Rattus norvegicus: one gene and its partner. The protein of the gene in region 2 purifies or fractionates together with the protein of the main gene of each other region. This does not show direct contact. Links are inferred from orthologs where the notes say so. Each region holds a gene or a part of one and is shown on either strand. Other genes may lie near its edges.

Evidence for each region.
Region 1: the proteins of Rpl13a (region 2) and Rpl7l1 purify together in Homo sapiens (affinity purification with mass spectrometry; 3 studies listed by BioGRID and IntAct, with this or other methods). This does not show direct contact. The link is inferred for Rattus norvegicus from reciprocal best matches to the Homo sapiens genes RPL13A and RPL7L1.

Annotation. Positions count from the first base shown.
Region 1 is NC_086027.1:21,698,604-21,701,512, reverse strand, and holds part of Rpl7l1 (60S ribosomal protein L7-like 1), read right to left. Parts: intron 2,889-2,909; coding exon 2,751-2,888; intron 1,614-2,750; coding exon 1,504-1,613; intron 1,368-1,503; coding exon 1,159-1,367; 3' UTR 1,148-1,158; intron 423-1,147; exon of another isoform or gene 292-422; intron 1-291.
Region 2 is NC_086019.1:104,746,094-104,750,229, forward strand, and holds Rpl13a (large ribosomal subunit protein uL13), read right to left. Parts: upstream 2,821-4,136; 5' UTR 2,807-2,820; coding exon 2,792-2,806; intron 1,779-2,791; coding exon 1,706-1,778; intron 1,675-1,705; exon of another isoform or gene 1,592-1,674; intron 1,463-1,591; coding exon 1,397-1,462; intron 1,300-1,396; coding exon 1,198-1,299; intron 1,154-1,197; exon of another isoform or gene 1,069-1,153; intron 995-1,068; coding exon 909-994; intron 869-908; exon of another isoform or gene 802-868; intron 738-801; coding exon 678-737; intron 635-677; exon of another isoform or gene 555-634; intron 467-554; exon of another isoform or gene 451-466; coding exon 328-450; intron 243-327; coding exon 156-242; 3' UTR 130-155; downstream 1-129. UniProt on the Homo sapiens protein: Associated with ribosomes but is not required for canonical ribosome function and has extra-ribosomal functions.

The DNA of each region.
Region 1 (2,909 bases), on a different chromosome or scaffold from region 2:
CTGGGTTCGGTCCCCAGCTCCGAAAAAAAAGAACCAAAAAAAAAAAAAAAAAAAAAAAAAGTCCTGATCTTCAGGACAGCCTGAAGGTTGTGGATAAGGACTCTAAATACATGGTTCAAATACATGTTAATTTAAGGCTGGAGAGATGGCTCAGCTGTTAAGAGCATTGACTGCTCTTCTAGAGGTCCTGAGTTCAATCCTCAGCAACCACACGGTGGCTCACAACCATCTGTAATGAGATCTGGTGCCCTCTTCTGGTGTGTCTAAGGATGGATATAGTATACTCTTTCTTTTTGTCTGAAGGGGACTGGCAGAATTACTATATGCAGTTACTCTGCTAATGAACCTTCAACTATTAGTATAGCACATAAGAATTAACACTGCTCCCACAGTCAAAGGAAAGCAGGTCAATGAATGTGCAGTAGTATACCCATAAAATAACAAATCTTTAAAAAAAACATAATTTCTCAAGAAGTAAAGATGCAGTATGAATTACAGGAGGGGCCTATCAAACCTAAGGGTACAAAAGCAGCTCTACTGTAAGCCAACTTGTGAGAAAGACAGTAAAGAAGGGGACAAATGTAGGGAGTGATGGTCACAGACCCCACCCAGCTAAGGTTTTGTTGTTGCCACTGTTTACGATGACAAAAGCTGACAGGTTCCTAAGTCCAGGGTCAGCTGGAGACAGAGCAAGGTTGGGCCCAGCAGTGGTTGAGATGGTGATGGGATCCCACCAGCTGGCTTATTGTATGTGCTTAACAGAGGTGGGCAGACCTCTGAACTCTTTTGCAAAGTAAAAAAAAAAAGCCATTTGCTGTCTCCTGAAAATTAAGGAGCTGGGGTTATGGGTGCTGACTCTGGAAACCTGGAGTCAACATCTGGACTGATATGTAAAATAGAGTTGTCCTTATCATCTGCAAGAGATGAGCTATCCAGTCAGTCTCAAGCAGAGAACAGAGCCACCTGGGGATCTTAGGAGAAGACGGAACAAAGAAAAAGGTGTCTAGAGTAGAGCAAGGCCACAGCTCCGACCCAGCACTGACTGTGAGCAGTCTGTTCCTCCGCTCCCACACACCCCGTCCGTAGCCCCTCTCAAAGTCTTTGGCAACAGGAGCACTGGCTGTACTGTGGCACACGCCGGTCTCACCTGCTCCTGCTCTAGTTGAGCTGCCGGATGAGCTGGTTGATGCGGTCACCCCGGTAGCCAGGCGAGCCCATCTCCTTGAGGAAGCCCACTCTATTCTTGGTAGCATGACGGGCCACAGAGAGGTGGAAAGGGCACAAGAATGAAGAGATCTGCTGGAAATGCTTCCCAGGGAAGGCAATTTCATGGATGAGGTCTTCCAGGCAAATGACACCAAACTGCCCTGAAAAACAAGAGGGTATCGATCCCCTTGTTCACTACTAGCCGGTACACAGGAAAAAAGCTGGGCCTGTAATGTGAGGAACAGACCCTGGGTCCAAATCCCAGCAGCCACCAAACCCCCATGCTGCAGCACTCACCCAAGTGCTCCTCAATCACTGTGTTGTCGGTCAGAGGGACAGTCTTATTGTTAATCTTTGCTTGTCCACGCTTCAAGATGAGTTCTCGGACAGACTTCAGATTTGGAAATCTACACAAGGCACAACAGAGACACTGGCCATTAAGAACAAGCTGAGAAGAGGTGTCAGCCTCTCGACCCGGACCTCCCACAGGCAGGGCGTGGACTACTGAGTGACAACTGAGAGGAAGAATGAAAAGCACAGTGGCTCAAGCCTGCAATTCCAGCACCTGAGACAGAGGCCGGAGGGTCGTGAGCTATCTATACAGGAGTCTGAAGTGAGCCAACTGAAAAGCCCAGCACAGGCTTAAGAATATAATTAGAGGGGTTGGGGATTTAGCTCAGTGGTAGAGCGCTTGCCTAGGAAGCGCAAGGCCCTGGGTTCGGTCCCCAGCTTCAAAAAAAAAAAAAAAAAAAAAAAAAAAAAAGAATATAATTAGAAACTTAGGCATTTTTTGAGATCAGGTCTTATGCTGGCCTCAAACTTGCAGCAATCCTCCTGCCTCAGAGGTTTTACACCAAGAGGTACACAGCTGTATTTGAGTGAGGACAGCTATGAAGCCTGCTAAGTGTGGACACGGCTTCCCAGCACCATACCTTGTACCTTCACAGGACATATGTCCATGAGCGATACTAAACTTCTTCATGTCTGTCCTTTGGTGTACAGGGATGGGAGGCCCAAGACACCATGCTCAGTTCTAAAATGTGTTTTTCTTTCTTTGAGAACATCTTGCAGCAGAATGGCTCAGGCTGGCCTGGGATCCACAGCAACCTCCCTGCCACAGACTCCAAGTGCTGGGATGTAGGTGTGAGCCACCACACTTGGCGACGATCACTATCACGGTGGCTTCAAGCACTAATCTCTGTGTCATTCATTTTACCTTCTCTCTCTCTCTCTCTCTTTTTTTTTGGTTCTTTTTTTCAGAGCTGGGGACCGAACCCAGGGCCTTGCGCTTCCTAGGTAAGCGCTCTACCACTGAGCTAAATCCCCAGCCCCCATTTTACCTTCTCTTAACCGACAGCCGAGTAAGTCCCAAACACTTGGGGCATTATCAGCATCACTGACCTTCCCAGGTTCTAAGGCTCTTTATTTCTGGTGACTGGCCACAGCAAAATGGCCAACACACAGCATGAACCTTGGAAGACAATACCCTGTGTGTCTTACACACTCAAAGAACGAGGTGATTCACGTGGGAAAACGGTACTTACCCCCAGGTCACATAAGGCTCCACTGTGCGCAGCATTCTCATACTCTGAGGGGTGACCTTGACAAAGACGCCACTGAACAACTTCTTCAGGCCAAGTTTCATGATGGTGCTCTTTACCAATAAACTCACTCCTTGAATCCTGAAACCAACAGGCAGGCGT
Region 2 (4,136 bases):
AACTCAAGCAGGTGATGAGCTCTCACTCAGCTGTCTAAATGCACCCTCTACCTACAGGAGCAGTGACTAAGGACCCTTTGGTCCCCACATCCCTGGTCGGCGGTGGAGGAAGGGCAGGCCAGGCAGGCATGAGGCACAAACAGTCTTTATTGGGTTCACACCAAGAGTCCATTGGTCTTGAGGACCTCTGTGAACTTGCAGATTTTCTTCTCCACATTCTTTTCTGCCTGTTTCCTTAGCCTCTGTGGTTTGAAAAGACAAGTGTCAGAGATTTGTTGCTTTTGTCCCAGGGCCACCCTAACCCTGGAGTGCAGGTTCTATCCTCACCAAGAGCTGCTTCTTCTTCCGGTAATGGATCTTTGCCTTTTCCTTCCGTTTCTCCTCCAGAGTAGCTGTCACTGCCTGGTACTTCCACCCGACCTCATGAGCCAGACGCCCCAGGTAAGCAAACTGCAGGGGCACAAGGCTGTAAGGACATGGAATGTGCCCCAGCAGCAGAGTGAGCTGGAGGGCCTAAGGACCCTACTTCAAGGACTCATCCCAACATGGACGCTCTCCTGGCATCAGCTCAGCCTTTGGCATTATCGGCACTGTGGCATCCGAAGACCATCGTGAGAATATACCATCATCTGCCAGTCTTGAGGTCCCACAAGTTTATTCTGTAGCCTAGAGCTTACCTTTCTGGTAGGCTTCAGCCGCACAACCTTGAGGGCAGCAGGGACCACCATCCGCTTTTTCTGTTAGAAAAAAATAAGGGCTCAGAGACGTGTTGGGTGCACTTGGTAAGAAGGCTGATGGGTCAGGCGTCTCAGCCAGTGCAGTTTTCATGAGGCTCAAACAATGTAGGTAACAGAACATCACAGACGCTAGATGCAGAGAGGCTGTGAGGCTAGGCCTGCAAGGCTCACCTTGTCATAGGGTGGAGGGATCCCATCCAACACCTTGAGGCGTTCCAGGGCAGCCTGGCCTCTTTTGGTCTTGTGCGGCAGCATGCCTGTGGGTGTAACAGCAGCAGGCCTCATCAGAGGTGCTGAGAAACCCACCTGACCTCAGGAGCAGGGCATTAGGCCAGCCTCAGATGGTAGTGCATGTAGAGTCGTCTCATAGTCAGGCAACTCGAACATGAGTGGGAGACATCCTCATCACAAGCTGCCAGATGCTCCCCTGCTCTCCATGTCACCCATGGGACCAGCTTACCTCGCACAGTGCGCCAAAAAATGCGGCTTGGGGCTCGGAAGTGGTAGGGGCCTCGAGACGGGTTGGTGTTCATCCGCTTTCGGAGAAAGGCCAGATACTTTACTGTCAGAAGGAAAAGTATATGAGGCCTTTTGGGTCCAAAAAGCAACTAAGGACCTGCTTAGCCCCACCCAAGCCCACCACCCCAGCCCTAACTCACACTTGTTTCTGTAGAAATTTCCAGAAATGTTGATGCCCTCACAGCGTACAACCACCACCTTTCGGCCTAGAAAGCATGGGGTTGGAGACAGTCAGGAAAGTCACTGAACACCCAACAAAGCCACAGAGCACTCGTGGAATGCAGATCTGTTCCAAAATCATTTCTAAGCCATGAACCCCAAGTAAGCAGGGGCAGTAAGTCTCAGAGCGGTGCATGGGTTGATCTCACAGTCGTGAGACTCAAACGAAAGATGGTGATTATTGCTCATCACAGACTCTCAGGCAAATGTGGATGTTGAATGAAACTTACCCAGCAGTACCTGCTTGGCCACAATGGCCGCCAGGCGGCCCAGAAGATGGCCCCGGCCATCCAATACTAGAACCTGTGGAAAGAGGAAGGCTTAGTAGGCTTTCCCTACTCCAAGTTACCAACCCCTTCACAGTGCCTCTCCCCACAAGGATGCCTATAACCCAGATGAACCACGTGTCCCAAAGGTACATTATTATGTGCACACAACATGACTTTTTAAAATGGAACTTCATGTTACCCTACCAGGCCTCAAATTTCAGGATAGCTGGGATCCATGGGCACACTATGACCTACAAAGGGTCTAGACTTGGTTTCAGACTTTAGCCCATTGTTTAGTCCCACCAAATCCCCAGCTTTCTCACTAAGAGCAGACCTGTTGCTCTAAGCAGCACAAAACGAACCTGTAGTTAGCTAGACTACAATGGCTGTCCTGTCTGCAATTCTGAGCAGTGCAGAACAGTACAACCCAAACTACAAGAGAAAACCATTGCACACTACCGTTTACATTTTTAAAGTGAAAAACTGTCCCAAACAGCGTCATCTACTTCCTTAGCAACAACGTACCCTCAAGACATCTAAAAACAGCAGGAAAGGTGCAGTTCAACTCCTGTCAACCCTCAAAGTCATGAGGTTTCTCCCTCAGTCTGTTTTACAAGTCTGCTTCATCATTTCACCCCTTAATTCTGAACATTTAACACCCTCAAAAGGGCTACAAGCCCAAATATTAGATGTTACAAAAACCCTAAGTCATGCAAAACAGGAGCCTCCCACTAACAAAAGTACAATACCAGGCATGAGCAATTCCAAGGTCCCCACACCCCAATGCCGGAGATGAAACCTATAAAAGTTCTTTCCGGTGTTGGGAACCCGAGTCCCACTCCCGTCTTCCCCAGGAAAAACGCTAGGCTTTCATCGTCCCATACCTAAAGACTGCCGCGGCTGGTTATGCCCACGTTACACAACCCCCTCGCGTCAAAACGTTTGCTTAAGTCCCATCGCACAAGCAGAGTGGAGCAGTGGGCTCCCATTCGGCTCCCTCCTGGAACCCACCCCAACCCCACACCGCCCGGCGCGCAGAGTCCGAACCTGCCCCTCCGCCATCTTCGGCAGCCGCCTAGGAAAGGAAGAGGTCTTGGCGCAGGGTTTCTTATCCCTTGCTGCAGGGGCGGAGGAAGTGACGCAGATGGCTCGAACTGAAGGGTTTCTGTTTTCTCATTGATCGAAGCGGTGAGTGCGCGCACACCGGAGGCGGGCCACTTTCATATTGTCCAATCAGACTATCGCATGAGTTGGATCTTGGCGGCCATGACTGTGCGGGGCGAGAGGTCACGTGGTTCTCGAGGCGTCTTTAGCCGTACAAGGCCATCCAGCCGCTGCCGCCATATTTTGGAGGGATTGCACGTCTCGGTTCAGGTGTCCGTGATGTGGAGCGCCATTACTCCCATCAACGAATGACGGTTGCAGAACATGTGGTGGCCATAAGGGGGCGAGAATATGTCTTGGCCCGCCCTTCAGAGCTGCGTGTGTAACGGTCCCTCCCCTCAACCTCTTGGTGTGCTGAAAATTGCTGGCCTTTCCTGAGCCTAGGAGTTTCCTTCTGTCAGACAAGTCGGGGTAGTCTTCCTAGATGGAAGAGTATGAAGGAGAGAAGGCCTTTCAGGTTCCTGAGACGCAGATGCACTCACTTGCTGCTGTACCCAGCTGTGAATGTTGTCTGAGCTGCCCTCCCTGCTGTGCACCTATAACCGCCCACCACCAAAGGAAACAACAAAAAGGCAGTAGATTGTTCAGTATGAAAGACTCATTTTGTCCTGAAAAATCTCCCTAAACATCCCAGCCTGAGTCGGTTCCTCCAGGAGGTTCCAACACTGTTTTGCTTACTTGTTACACTTTGGTGCCATGATTTTGGGGAATTGGACTGCTTCTGCTTCACATCATAGTCCTATGGAGCATTCCCCCGTGCTGACCCTGGGCTGCTGAAGGCCTCAGAAAACAAATAGAACCTTTTGTTGTCCGTTCGGGTTTTTGATACAAGATTTCTGCAATCCAGGCTGACCTTAAACTTAAGATCCTGCCTTAACTTCTGGAGAGCCCGTATTGCATCACCAAGCACCAAAAAACCAAGATTCTGAAACCTAAAAGGTCCACCCATTCCCTGTCCCATCCACAGATAGGCCTGGAAGAGCTGGTACAAAAAAAAAAATTTTATATACAAGTTCATGGGGGCAAGGGCTTTGTACAGAATGGGGCGAGTGGGACTTTTGTTGAGTTCTGATGTTGTCTCCATCCTGGGGAGAGCTGGCTGAGGCAGGTCCAAGAGGAGGCCAGCCTCCACCCAACTGTCCCTGTGTCCAGGCTGTGCAAAACGTCTGTCAGATGACTCCGGCTTGGCCTCAGTATCCTCTGTAAAATGGGATCATCAATGGTCTGT